2 linked regions of the Drosophila melanogaster genome follow. The protein of the gene in region 1 interacts with the protein of each later gene in a pairwise test. Each region holds a gene or a part of one and is shown in the gene's direction. Other genes may lie near its edges.

Region 1 (7,205 bases):
GGAGCTGGACTACACCCAAAGTCATCCGGGTACGGATGAGGAGATAATACTCAAACTTATAGCGTCCATGAGTTCGGGAAAGAACGAGGACGACGAAGGAATTGAGGCGGAAACCAAAGCTACAGATGTCGAGGATTCCGAGGTCGAAGAAGAAGAACCTGAATCCGAGCCAATGGAAACCGCCTCCAAGGAAGCTGAGTCCGAAAAATCGTATGCAGAATATCAGCCAGACTCAGCACAGACAAGCGACGAAAGAGTGCAAGAGCTGCAGGCCGAGAATGCGCGCCTCAAAGCGCAGTCAATGCGCTTGTTCCAGATAGCTTTCAAGTATATTACTAGCGATACCAATGGCCAGGCTGAAATCACAGAGAAGACAAAGCGCAAGAAAGCGCGGAAGACATAGTGAACCTTAAGCTTGCTTTCAATTACGTTTACTTAGGACTTAGGACAAAAATACATGATAATAGAAAAAAAACAGCACTGATTGTGCCTAAAAACGATTTGGATGAACAAAACAATAACTTCTCGTAGAGGGATCTACTTGGGTGCCGCTTCGCTGCCCGCCTGCCCGTCCATGTTGTCATCTCCCGATTCGGGAGCGTTGTCATTTTCCTCGGCAATCAGGCGACGGATCTCTCGGTTGGAGTTCAGCAGCTCCCGTAGTTGGGACATAATGTCGTCTGTGCGCTGCTCCACGGCGTCCAGGGCACAGCTGAGAGCGTCCAGACTGTTGTTCACGTCCTCCATCTCTGTAGGGGTCATTCCATTAGAGCCAATCCCGAGCAGAAACGGGGCGCTGTCAAAACTCACCTTGGAGGTCCGCCTCCTGGACATTGGTGTTGCCAGAGTCGCCGGACGACGAGGGATCATGATTGTTTTTGGGTGACATTTTCCCTGGAATTTTCCCCGGAGTTTTTCCGTTTGTTTTTTCCAGTTGGATTTATTGTCACGGGATAGCTATAAACGATAGAGGTGGTTAGAAGAGAACGATAGGTCTCAGTTCAAATACGATATAAAAAAAAAAACTTAATAGGGGAATTCAGTACATACGTACGTTTTTGTAATTACGAAAACACTTTTTAGCTCAAAACACTAGGCGAACATAATCCACTGCAAAAGTCCAAAGCTAAGTTTCCACTTAGTTTTTAGGGATGTGCCCGTGCCTCGTTTTATTTTTACGTACCAATGGAATAGCATGGGAAATTTTGGCTTATTCGCATATGTCGTGCCTAATTCGTGACACGAACAATGAAACAAATGGTTTACGTATCTCTAGGCGTTGACTGGACTTAATCGAACGGTTCTTTCCCATAGTGCTTAATGTTGATTGGCCAGAGTTGACCCCTTCTGACAATGAACGGCTGTTTAATTTCTCAGAGCGATCAGCGGTCGTACTCCAACGTTTTCTGTTCGCCTGGTGTCTACAGTCGATAATCTTGCCCATTTTGACCGAAATAATTTTGAAGCATCGAATTGCGACAGTAGATTTCTTGTTGCAATCATGAGGCGAGCATAATAAACAGAAAGTGTACTAGCCTCTGTTTCTACGTTGTTTTTAGAGATGTGCATGTATATCGTTTTATTTTCACAACGCAAGCAAATTACTAGGGATTTTGGTATTTGCTCGAGCATGACGTGCCGATTGCGTGTCACGAACAGGGAAACAAGAGGGGTTCACATCTCTTCTGATACTCTTGCTTAAGCTTTGGTCTAACTGTTCACAAGGCTGCATTCCTATTGGTTCAATTGCGACTGGAAACATGCAATATGCGACCATTTTGGAAAAAGAAACTGTTTCTTGATTTTGTCGACATGTATCAGCTGGCTGGCTACTGGCTACTGGTTTCTGAACTCCAGATATTCAGTCGAGAATCGCATGCGAATGCCCGTAATATTTGCTGGCATCAATATTTAATCTGTTGCCTAGCGTGACAGTCGGCCACACTGCACCTCACATAACATAACCGAAAAATGAACAAATGTTTTAGGTGCCAGCCCCGGATATCGCTTTTCCAGTTCAGCGTGAGTCCATGAGTGTGTTGCCTTATAGGATTCGGATTTTCAATTTCTTGTTTACACAGCTACCGCGGTGCTATGCCGCAGTGCAGCCGGGATGTCCACCGCCACAAGAAAAACCCGTCGTCGGTTTGCCACACAAGCCCGATCCCAAGACGGTGAAGTGCGACTATATAGGACCGCCAGACGCGCAATCAAACCTACGTCCGTACGTACGGCACTACGGCGATGAGGAGACGCGGCTGGCAAGAAGCCTGCGTCTTAAGCGGATCGAGGTGGAGGCATGGAACACGGACTTCTGGACAAAACACAATAAGCGCTTCTACGAGGTACAACCACGACCACTGTGCCATCTCTTTCTAGTCCGCTAATGTCGTCTCTTTCGAATTGGTTCGTTTACAGGAAAAGGAAGACTTCATCCGCCTGCACAAGGAAAGCGGAACCAGCGAAGTGTCCGCGGACCAGATGAGCCACTTCTACAAAGCGTTCCTCGACAAGAACTGGCGCATCCACATCATGTACAACATCTCCTGGTACCTGAAGAACTTCGACATACTCACCCTGGCTGCCGCAGTCCAGCTCCAGAGGCTTCTGGCGCTGGCCAAGCGAAGATCTTAGGTGCAATATCTGTCGTCCCCATTTCGTAATTTCCAGTTTGCCGTTTGCAATAAGTTGGAATAAAAGATCACGTGCGTAAAATGGTGGCATAAAATTTACTTAGCTACTATTTAAGGGGATGAAAAATACACGTTGTTCGGAGTTAGTTAATGTACTTAAAAGTAATCGCAAACTATTTAAATAAAATAAAATAGAAGTAGGTGTTCATATCCTTATCAGTGTATATATTCAAAGAAGGTTGCGCACGATACACGCAGCGAAAGAAGGATCGCTCCCCATGTAAAGTGGCCGAATATTGAAAGATAACCGCTACAATTATGATAATAATAATAATGGTAAACAGAGGGGAAGGCACACACGCATAAAGTCAAGTTTTGGGTTGGCCATCGGGGCGGTCAGTTTCCTCGCGATAATTGCAATGGTGGTAGTGATGAATGTGGAGATGGTGCTAAAACAAATAAAATTAGGTGCTCCAGCGACTGTGTGAGGAGAGGGGGTCCGAAATACATTACAGGGGTGGTCGTGTCCTAGCAGTAACATTTATATTCTTTCTATGTAGAAACGATAGCAATTATTCAATTTAAACTATGAAGACACTCTCCACTTTTGCACTTAAGAGCGATATAAAGGATACGAATTGGCTACAGTGGGCACATATACAAAACTTACAAGGTCATATGCTCTCCACGAGCATATCTGCATATAGCATATAAACTATATATATATAAATATATATATATATATATATATATATATATAAATGTACACGAACTATAATGCTTAGCGAATCTAGCTACTTGATCAGATACAAGTCCTGTTCCTGTTCCTGTCTCTACTCCTGTTCCTGTTCACTGGGAGCGACGTGCTCGCCGCCGCTTCTTGCGCTTCCTTTGGTCCTCCGCTAGAGGCTCCTCCCGACTCTAGTTCATCCACTTGCGACAGTTGGGCGCTCCACAGGCGCACGGTATCTTGTGCGACTCGTCCTCAATGTCGAACTTGTAGTCGTACGAGAGCTAAAGCACAGAATTTAAGAGATATTGTGAGTTAAGGTACAGGCGAAACACTTCTATTTGCGGGACCCACCTCCTCGCCGCGATAGATCTTCCGCTTGGCGAATATTATGATCCGCACGTCGCGATCGACCTCCACTATCTCGGTAACACAGTTGGGATTGCACGAATGGTTGATGTAGCGCGCCAACCCGCCGCTTAGAGTGGCGTCCACCACGCGGTCTTCATCCAGCCGGAACATGTAGATGCCACGGTTCTGGGGAATCAGAGATTAGTCAAAGTTACAAGAAAACATGGTCGCGAAACCCACCTTGGACTCGTACTGCTTCTCGCGTATCTCGGAGACCTCGGTGCGGATAACCTCGCCAATGTACTCGATTATCATGGTGTGCTTTTCAATGTCCCGAGCTGCATACAAGCCAAGACCCTGGATCTTAGATCTAGAAAATGAGAGCTTAAGTAATCAGTGGTTATTGACTAGGACCTAATGTCTCACCTCGCCAAGTAGACGTTGTTGCGCCACTCCTGCTTCATCTTTTTGTACTGGGAGCTCTTCGAATGCACGAACTGCTTGCTGTACGGGCAGGCCACTTCTCCGGCAATCGCAGCCGAGTTGGCCATCCGCTGCGTGCTGCAGCTGCCGGCCGTGCGTTGCGTATGCGGCTTCCTCCAGACGAGCAGCTGTCGTTGCTTGGGTTCCGTACGCGCCGCTCCAGACGGATTGATGGCTAGCGGGAACTCAAGAAGCGGGTTGCGACCGTACTTGAAGCGGTAGTCAGTGAGCGTCTCAATGCCCGGGAGGCTTTCCAGGATTCGCACAATGGCCGGTTCCGTTAGGCCAAATAGGTCCTCACCACTGATGTGCTGGGGAAAGAGCTGCAACCACTTGTGCACCTTACGCAGTCGCGTGATTGGCTGCAGAATCTGCTGCCAGACCGCCGAGGGCGAACTGCCCCGAAACTCGCGCTCCGGCTCCTTGTCGCCGGCGTCCTGCACCTGGATGCGAAACTCGGGCTTGCATCCGGCCTCTGCGATACTGCAAATGTATCGACACCTACGATTGGGTCGTCGCACGCACCAGTAGTAGCGACTCTATGGGGGAGGAAGAGGAACGGGATTTAAGATTGCTGTTCATAAACATGGCGGCCGACCGGCTGGTACTTGTACTTACCACCTTGTAGCCAATGGGGTAGATGTAGTGGGGTGTGTGGAAGGCCTCCAGCTGATGCGGCAGTAACTGACCCACGTTCAGGAACGTCATGTTGCCCACACGGAGCAGGTTGCTTAGCTCTGAATAGTGCATGACGGTGGCCACCTGACGGTTTTCATCCCGATCGACAAAAACTCTCCGGTGGACAACCAGGGAGCTCAGTTCATTATCTGCCACAGAGCCTCCTAATCCGGCGCCAGTCGTGGCGCCTGCTCCTGCACCCATCGTGATGCCGGCATGAGCATGACCATGAACGCTGCAGTGCACGGACTTGTTCTTGTAAAAGACGCACTCCTCGCGAATGGCGCATGGCAGGTGGTACAGGCTGTTGCAGCGCGACTTGAAACACTTGATGGTGGCGCCTGGTTGGTGACAAGCGCTACACGCCTGGCTCAGTCCCGCTTGCAGAGCTGTCTGGAAGTTCATCAGCGCCCCAGACACCGTCTCGTACACGCCGTTGGACCACAGGGCGCAGTTAAGGTGAACCTGTATGTGAAAGTGTACATTAAGCTGTGATGCAATCAATCATTAGGGTTACACTTTCTACTTACCCATTTATCCACATCGAAGTTAAGCAGTCGCGAGGGTCCATCTGCCTGGCCGTCACCACGCTGATTGCAGAAGACACACTGCCGCGTGTCCTCCAACTGCAGCCCACTGGTCTCTGTTTCCCACACAGTATTATTGACCGGTCCAGCCCCAGTTCCGGCACCAGCAGTTCCGTCGAGCTCCAGTCCGGATGGCGCCGAGTCCGTGGTGAAGCAATCAGCACTAAAACACTTCACAATGCATTTGCGCTGTGCGGGGATATTTGTGGGGTTGCCCGGTACGCTCGGCGTTTTCTCATCCTCGTCCTCCGGTTCTTGTTTGACCACCATTTCCGCTGGGGCAGTTGAGCTGGCGCAGAAGCTGCCAGGCGAGTCTCCGTTGGATGATTTTACAGCAGAACCGCCGGCTGGCTGAAGCAGCAGACTAGCCGCCTCCGCCTGGCCATCCTTTCCATTCCACTTGAATCTCGCAAAGCAGGCGCGATCGCAGAAGTACACAAAAGGAGGGGGAACCGATTTTCTTGGCAGCATGTCCATCAGTTGAGCCAACCGGGGGAGTTGCTCTTCTAGGGCAGGAACACTGTGCCGAGGAACTCGCAGCCCAGTGGCGTGAACCACATTTCCGCAGCTGCGGCAGAGCTTACGACGCCCGTTGAGGATCTTCCTCAGATGACCGTGACTCACTTGACTCAGTGGTCGCTTGAAGTCGACGTGCTTTTCATCGTCCTGATTCATAAACTGGTCCTCCAACTTGTTGCCAATCTTGTCCTCGATGATCTTGCAGGTAAGGGCGGGCGCCAAGTGCAGTAGATTGGCCAGATCCCGCAGCACGCCGGCTATGTTCTCCGATGCCGAGGCGGGCAGTGCGAGTATCACATTCTGGTTCTTCTGCTGGTAATTGTTATTATTATTATTGCCCAGCGGTCCCATTCCCAGCTCCATCTGCTGTGTCTTGCGCAGCTCTTCGCCGCAGGATCGAAGCAGTGGAGACACGGGAAAGCGCATGGTCAGCGGATCCTCCGGCAGTGCGACCGGCGACATCCGTCCATGGCAACGGCTGTTTCCATTGAGCAGTATTAGACCCGGATAGCGGGTAAGTCGTGGAAGAGTCGCCCACGCAGCTACGCCCTCGCTCTCCACCAGGTCTACGGTCTCCAAATTGCAATCCTTGACGGCTCCAATGTGCCGCACCAGGCGTTCCCTAGGATTGCGCTCCATATGCGTGGAGAACTCCTGGTCATAAAAATCATTTTGGATGCTAGACATTGGTAGCATCTTTTCTGCTCCCGGAGACTCTGCTGGCGAGGGTGAACGGGTTCGTGCAGATCCACCAACTAGACCTCTACTTCCGCCAAAGCGTTCGCTATCGTACAACGAGGGTATCCCTGGCAGATTCACTCGACCATAGCGGCCGAGAACGGTGCCATCACAGTCCTCCAGACCTTCCAAATGCCTGCTCAGTGGCCAGCCTCGAGATCCGCCCTTCAGCTTTCCTCCTCCAGCCGATGATGATCCGGCAGAAGCCGCAGAACTCATTGAGGCGGGCGAACCACCTCCAGAAGTCTCGTTGCTCCCGATAAGAAAGTGAAAGTTGCGATTGAGATGCGGCTCCAGAACTTGAAGCGGCTGCATTTGGCGGATGTGCGTCAGCAACTTCTCGGTAAATGCATCGTGATCCTCTTCTACCTTGGAGAACTTGCGAACCCGCTTCTTGAGCATGGGCGAGGAACTGGCTCCAGTACTGGCGCCCACTCCTCCCAAAGTAACTCCTTGTCCGGTACTGGTGATCACATGACCAGTCCC
Region 2 (7,811 bases), on another chromosome or scaffold:
TGTTGTTCATGCAAAGAAATATTCATATTCTGTATAATTATTGCTTAAGAATATATATTTTTCAGTACCTAAATGTATAAGAATGAAGAAGCTATAAATTAAATAATAAATAGTTAGTTAGTTGAAAGGGATTATCTTCCTGTGTATTGGGACGTCACAGAGTCTGGCTGAATTTTCGCCGATCATGTAGGAAGTGTCCCAGGGGCAAAAAGGGGAGCCCCTGCCACATACACCCACTTTCGAGAAACTCATTAGCCTGGGGCACAACAAACCCGGCAACTCGGGGCACAAACAAACCAATCCCGAGCCCAATCGACTGCTAAACGCTGTCGGCACACATCTGAGAGACGGCGACGGAGGCCAACAAATTGATCATTAAACAGAAGGCGCAAATGTAGGCGCAACCCATCGTTGTCCAACAGAAGATCGTAGCATCGGAGCATCAGGTCGAGATCAAACACCTGGGCCCTCGACCTGGCGAAGAAAGTGACGAGGCTGCGACGTCAACAAGATTAATTTGTTTTCCGGCCGGGTTCCATCTCCATCCAGAGTCACAGAGCCACATCCACATCCATATTTCCCAACTCAGCCGGCAACCTGTTGTCCAGTTCCCCGATTTGTAATTGCCCTGCTTTGTGGTAGTCGATCAGGTTCGATCGCGGATCGATCATATACTCTACTATAATGGACAAACTCGATGGATGGCGAAAGAACATCATTAGTTTTCTCGGCGTAGAGTCCACAAAGTAGGTGGCGTTTTTCTCACATCCCGAGTGTTTCTATGGAATCTCGATTTGGAGATGTTGGATCTTCTCTTCGGCGGCGTTTGTCCATTAGCCACGGTTTGCATCGGATATATGCGAATTTAAATAAAATCATTCAATTGTTTCATTAATCACTGGCTACGGTCGGCGTTTTCTATTAAAAAAAATGCATTGCCAATGGAAAAATTGACTGCAGAGACCGTGATTATTTATACATTAGTGGGAAAGAATCTTCAGTTTTATGCGAAGAGCTTAAAAAGTTTCTCATGATGTCCTACTTAGAAGTGGTTTTATGTTTTAGCAATCTATAATTTCTATGAAACTTAATTGGGAGTAATTCCTAACCACTGTAATAAAAACTATTTGACCTGAGGAAGCCAAAAGCAGCTCTTGAGCCACCAAATCGATTGGGAAACATAAAACATATATGTGCTGCAGTTCACGATAAAAAAAAAGCAGGGCATGGCGAATTGGGAGGCTGCAACCGAAACGCACACTTAATTTCCGCTTAATCAAACAGAACAGCGACTGGGGGGGCACAGACAGAGCAACCCACATCATCTGGAGTCGGCTACCCTTCGACCCAATCCTCTAGAGGAAAACGTATGGCAGACGCAAGGGCTCATTTGCATGGCCACTTTGATGGAGAGCGATGGGTGTCGGAGCATGAAGAGCTCGCCCCATTGCGCAATGGTTGATGGTGGATGTTGTATGTTGGATGGTGGATGTGGGTGTCTTGTCTTTCGGGAAGCTGCCAGCAGTTGACTTCTCCAGTTCTTCTTTTCGGGGCAGGATTTCAAAGGAAAAGTGAGCGTTTTCCAGGAATGACTGGGAGCCTTGTAATCGCAATTACCATGGCCAAAATATCAAAAGATAATGCCATCCTGGCCAGACACAAAAATATGTCGAAACATATATAAATATCTTATATTTTGTGATACTTGAATGATTAATACAAGGTGTACTAAAGCTACAAGTTATTTTGAATGTAATGTAACATTCAGATTTCTAGAATCAGAGTTTAATTTAATTAGTATAATTTTTTTATTTTAAAGAACTTTTATTCCTTTTATATTACATATATATTACATATATTTAGTGTCTTAATTTATTTACTCCTTTATATATACTTATTATTTACACTTTATTACCATAGCCACACGACACCAGCCACAATATAAATAATGTGTCTATAAAGTCGCAATCATCGTCATTACCGAACAATCGCGAAATCCATTATATCCTGTTCAGTGCATCGTAAAATCGAGCATCTTTCGCTGGAAGGATGCGGAAATGTTGAAAAAAATAGCGATGCGATCAGCGAGCGTGAAATCGCAGTCAGCATATGAAAAGGATGTACAGGATCGTATCCTGGCAAAGTTCCTGCAAAAAGGAAGGGAAGTGTAGATGCTTGTGAAGACGCTGATGGGCATTTTATGACGGTTGGAATCCTTCCTCTTCTGGGGAAATAGAGCTGGAGATTCAGGTAAATTCAGCTAGTCTAGCAAACCGATTATATCGGAATAAACAACTTTATGACGCGCCTGTTGGTGCCTTAAAAATTATGTCAAAAAAGAGCGAGTTTCTTGGTTTATTGGGATCGGGTGTGAGTGTGACCCAAAAACCATTGTTTTGGCCAACGAAGGGGTTTTTACGTTTTCGACTTTTGTTTTGACTTTTTGACGGTTGTCTTGACTTTTTGAACTGAACTGCTTGGGTTCTAAGAAATTTGAAGTTGAACTATATACTCTGATGTTCGCAGCGAATAGAGAATGAAATTTTTCCCTAAAAAGAGAGTTATGGTTTTTAGGGAAATTTTTGATGTTATATGTATGCATATTCTGTAAATGGATTACAGCCCATAAAAAGTCAAATTACCCTGTTTCTGTAGGAAATGTAAGAGTTTCAGGCGGTTTGTTCCACCCTAAGCCGCAAAATAAAACACCAAATTATGCATTATTTCAGTCGAAGCTCCGCCCATGCTGACATTTTCAGAGAACCGACTGACCGAAGAAAACTCCGCCCCAATAGTGGAAATAGAGGAAAAAACACAAATTTACCACAATACTTCGCTGCGTGGGCGTACCGAATCGAAGATTCGTTTTGCTCTTCTGGTAAACCGTGCGGTTAAAGTCGCAAAGAGCACAGCCCATCCCAGCCCAGCCATTTGACCATATGAGCGGAATTGAGGAAACCAAGCGGGGTTCCTCCGCAGCGGTGACCTTCGGGCGGGAGTGGACCTAGAGCTGGACGCCCTACTGCAAAATCCATGTGTCCCGTCCATGGGTGTGACGTTCTGGTTTCGGAATTGGTCGCGCATCAGCGTCGCGCCGTGACCTTGATGGTTTTGCGACCCCTCCCTCACCACTCAGTATGTGCGGTTTGGGCTCTGGTCGCAGTTTGGTCGCCGATCTCCGTCCGCGCACAGCGAGGTGCCATTCCCGGGGAGATTGGCTGAGAGTTTCGCAGAAGATGCGTAAATATTTTGGGTGATTATTTTAGATAATCTTCGACTAATGTCCTTGGTTTGTCTCTCAAGACAGGAGGGATATTGAGGTGCTTCGAATTTAAGTTTATTAGTCTGATGTAGGCCTAGATTTAAATATGTACACTATTATATTGTAGATGGGTGTACTGATGACTTGTTGTTGTAAGACATATAATTTTCTAAATCAAAACTCGAAATTTTCATTGACAATAAATATATGTTATATGAATTAAATGGCTAGACATTTTCACACTTATGTGTAGTCCACAATAATAATGCATTCCAGATTATTTCGAAATAGGTATTCTGAACTTGTTTTGAACTTTATATAATAGTAACAAATAAGAATTCTTAATTTAAGGAATATATTTACTAAAAATTAAACAAAATATAGCTATTTTTCTTAAAAAAAACATTAAATGCATTTAAAAGTTGTTTAAGTAATATGAATTTTGTCTAAGCCCTAACCGAAACTGAAATCTTAAAATTAAAACCAACAATTATATAGAAAAGTTAATTTTTAAATTTTTTTCTTATCATTTCGCATCCTTTTAAAAAGCCGTTACGAATGCGGTCGCACTAAGATGTGAGTCAGTGTAGCCACACCTGTTCAGCTGACTGCGGTATGCACCAGCAGCAGATGAACGGTCCCACTGATTGATTCAGTCAGTCTTTATTTTTTACCATTTCCCACCCACCACGAAATCAAGGAAAAGCATCCCGAAATTGCACAATGTCCGAAGAAAAGAAGAATGGCGATGAATTAAACGACTTGCTGGACAGTGAGTACAGCCCGGAAATGCCTTTGGCGATCCCTTCTCGACCCCTTACATAATGCGCACTGCGTCGTCCACTTTTCGCACAGGTGCTCTCCAGGATTTCGATAAAAGTGGTGCCGGTGACCAAAAGGAGCCGTCCGCATCATCGGATGTGGCGACCAACGCTGGACCTGAGGGCTCCGAGGATCCAGATGCGTTTTTCATGTGAGTCAATGCGCCAGTGCAACGCGGCACTTGAACTTTGTATTCTGACCTGTTATCCGCCTTCAGTGAGCAGGCCAAGGTGCTGGCCGATCGCATGAACACGCTCTTCGGAGGTCCGGACACGCCCAGTGGCGATATTCCGCCGCTGCCCCAGGATCCCGACCAGATCATGGCCGGTTTCAAAAAGATGGCCGAAGCGGCAGCGCTCACCTTGAGCGGCGAAAATTCGGCCACCGACGAGGATGTCTCCAAGTATTCTGATAGCATTTCCCAGGCTCTCAAGGGTCTGCAAGAGGGCTCCGAGAACCTGGCTGCTCCCGCCTCGGAGAACGACATAGCCAGCATGTTTGGTTCACTGAATCTTGAAGGGGTATGCATCCTGAAAATGAAATATGAATTCTCCTTGCTCAATCATTAAACAATCCCCGTTTGACAGGCTGGCGAGGGTGATGGAAACATGTTCCTACCATTCATGGAGGGCATGATGCAGAGCCTGCTCTCGGCGGAGATTCTGTTGCCCAGCATCCGGGAGCTGCTGGAGAAGTACCCCAAGTACCTCGAGGAGAACGACGCCAAGCTCTCCGCTGAGGACAAGGAAAGGTATGCTCGAAATCAACTCGCAATAAGATACTTTTATTGAGAAACCAATACATACAGGTACCAGAAGCAGATGGAGCTGTACAAGGTGATTGAGGGGCATTTACAGAGCGAGAAGACCGAGGATTCGGCCGCCGTGAAGCGAGAGAAGTTCCGCGTCGTGCTGGACGACATGCGCAAACTGCAAGACTACGGCCAGCCGCCGCCAGAGATTCTGGCCGAGACGGGCGGCGACTTGCCCTTCGGCGATCCCACTGCCGGCGTAGCAGCCGGCGGTCCCGGTCCCCAGTGCCCAACCATGTAGTGGCTGACGGAGCACGATAGTCTCGTGGTGTGCCAATTGGTTAACTGTTGAGTGTTGCACATTTTTTAGGCTAAGGCAAATTTGTATTTTATTTTATCACCGACAAAACAATACGGCGGTCGCTAATGGTTATCACCTCTCTCTTCAATCAAGCTATTATTTTCGTATTAACTGTTGGTTTATTAAGTAGTTCTATACCTAAATACAATGCCTCGAAATACACCTAGAGGAAGAAGCGACGTCGCGACTCCATGGCGTGCCGTTTGTTGCTGATTATCCAGGCATAGTCACCGGTCTTGCTGTCGAATGTGCCCTCCTGCAGGGAACGTAGTTTCAGGGTGAACCGCGGCCCCAGTTCGCGCAGCTTTACGCGTTTTCCCTCTTTGGTGAACTCGTAGCGGTGGTGACGGAAGAATATGTAATCTCGCTGATTGTGGAACGTCACCGCTCGGCGGCCGCGGAACTCGGGATCGTGATGGAAGAGGGCACCCAGCATGCGGCCCACGGTCAGACCCAAACGTGTGGTAAAATTGTTCAGGATCACTTCGGGCCTGTGCTTGGTTATCTCCTTGTGATCGCGCTTTATGTCCGAGGTGAGCTTCACGTTGGACAGCTTGAAGTGGGCAGTGGGACCATTGGGCAGATGAATGACCAGCAGCCCATTGGGCTTTCTGCGATCTTCGTTAACGATCACGACGTCTGTGAACTCCTCGCGCTCGGCGCTTTTGCATATCTTCTTCACCGACGACTTGTTGCGAATCTTAACCAGGGCGTTGGGGAATATGCGCGAAAGCTCCAGTCCAAACTTACGCGTCTTGGTCACCGGATTGTCAGCAAAAGTGATCAGCACCTTTGGCTCGTACGAACGTTCGAAGTACGAGCTGAAATCGTCCAGTTGGAGTTCCTTTTGCAACTCCTCGTTGTCGGAATCGTTCAGATTGGCCACCTCTGTTTGGTCCTTCTCTCGCAGGCTCTCTATGGTGTGACCAGGATTGGCGGGTACACCAGCCTTCCGTCGGGCACGGCGCTCCTGCATTTTTTTCTTGTGCTTCTCCTTCTTCATTTTTTTGTACAACGCCAAACGCTGCTCCTTGTTGCGCATCCAGCTGAGGGGATTCAAAACAGGAATTCGTGTCTTCTTGTCGTCGTCGTCGTCATCATCCTCTTCTTCGTCGTCGTCGTCATTCTCCTCCTCATCGTCGTCATCATCCTCTTCCTTTAAATCCTCACTGGCTTCCCCTTGTTTGGCCGTTTTTTTGCTGCTGGAGGCGGCTTCTTCATCGCTGCTATCAGTGACTGGCCCCTCCTGGACTTCCAAATCCTGTGGCTCCTCCTCGTCAAAGCTGGAATCGCTGTCCGAGTCCTGTTCCACGGGCGGAGGGGCTGTTTTTCGCTTAATTTTTATCATTATTCCGAGAGAATCACGAATTCACAAAAATGCGAGCGGCACGTGTTGATATTCTTCTTCTTATACCAATCACACGGAAACGCAGACAATCTGCTGTGTGGGGCAGTGTTGGAAAACGTGCCACTCACAACGTGTAGTTTGTAAACAAAAATATATTTAATTAAAATGGTATTTCGGGTCTTAGAACTATTTAGTGGCATTGGCGGCATGCATTATGCCTTTAATTGTGAGTTCGTCGATCATGATACATGCGAAACTAATATATACTTTTGAAGATGCCCAATTGGATGGACAAATAGTTGCCGCCTTGGATGTCAACACCGTGGCCAATGCGGTTTATGCGCACAATTACGGCAGTAATTTGGTGAAAACTAGGAATATTCAAAGCCTGAGTGTAAAGGAAGTCACAAAGCTTCAGGCCAACATGCTGCTGATGTCCCCGCCATGTCAGCCCCACACTCGCCAGGGATTGCAAAGGGACACGGAAGACAAGCGATCGGATGCACTTACTCATCTGTGTGGACTGATCCCAGAGTGCCAGGAACTGGAGTACATACTCATGGAAAACGTCAAGGGTTTCGAGAGCTCACAGGCGCGAAATCAGTTTATTGAATCGCTGGAGCGGTCGGGATTCCATTGGCGGGAGTTTATTCTAACGCCAACGCAATTCAATGTGCCAAATACTCGATATCGCTACTATTGCATCGCCCGCAAGGGTGCAGACTTTCCATTTGCCGGTGGAAAGATCTGGGAAGAAATGCCGGGTGCTATAGCCCAGAATCAGGGTCTTTCACAAATTGCCGAGATTGTGGAGGAAAATGTATCACCCGATTTCCTGGTGCCCGACGATGTCTTGACCAAAAGAGTGCTGGTCATGGACATAATACATCCTGCTCAAAGTAGATCCATGTGCTTTACAAAGGGCTACACCCATTACACCGAGGGCACGGGCTCTGCATACACACCGCTTTCGGAGGACGAATCCCACCGCATCTTCGAGTTGGTCAAGGAAATTGACACAAGTAATCAGGATGCATCGAAGTCGGAGAAGATTTTGCAGCAACGCTTGGACCTGTTGCACCAGGTGAGACTGCGCTATTTCACGCCACGGGAAGTTGCTCGTCTAATGAGTTTTCCGGAGAATTTTGAATTTCCGCCAGAAACAACGAATCGACAAAAGTATCGACTGCTGGGAAATAGTATTAATGTAAAGGTTGTCGGTGAACTTATTAAATTGCTGACGATAAAATAAAACAAAATACAACAT

The links. Proteins that work in one complex are often made in the same cells at the same time.
Region 2: the proteins of Coa8 (region 1) and Pex19 interact in a two-hybrid assay, tested with the Drosophila melanogaster proteins (one large-scale study listed by BioGRID).

The regions. Positions count from the first base shown.
Region 1 is NC_004354.4:1,878,602-1,885,806, forward strand, and holds Coa8 (cytochrome c oxidase assembly factor 8), read left to right. Parts: upstream 1-1,680; 5' UTR 1,681-1,971; coding exon 1,972-2,022; intron 2,023-2,081; coding exon 2,082-2,345; intron 2,346-2,418; coding exon 2,419-2,634; 3' UTR 2,635-2,831; downstream 2,832-7,205. Other genes in the region: CG14805 (uncharacterized protein), read left to right, coding at 1-403; CG14818 (uncharacterized protein), read right to left, coding at 538-749, 811-889; trr (trithorax-related), read right to left, coding at 3,555-3,647, 3,718-3,900, 3,955-4,084, 4,141-4,736, 4,816-5,340, 5,406-7,205.
Region 2 is NT_033779.5:12,089,877-12,097,687, forward strand, and holds Pex19 (peroxin 19), read left to right. Parts: upstream 1-1,945; 5' UTR 1,946-2,250; exon of another isoform or gene 2,251-2,482; intron 2,483-3,811; 5' UTR 3,812-3,985; coding exon 3,986-4,034; intron 4,035-4,117; coding exon 4,118-4,235; intron 4,236-4,301; coding exon 4,302-4,605; intron 4,606-4,671; coding exon 4,672-4,835; intron 4,836-4,892; coding exon 4,893-5,136; 3' UTR 5,137-5,359; downstream 5,360-7,811. Other genes in the region: CG6712 (uncharacterized protein), read right to left, coding at 5,360-6,544; Mt2 (methyltransferase 2), read left to right, coding at 6,710-6,770, 6,820-7,796.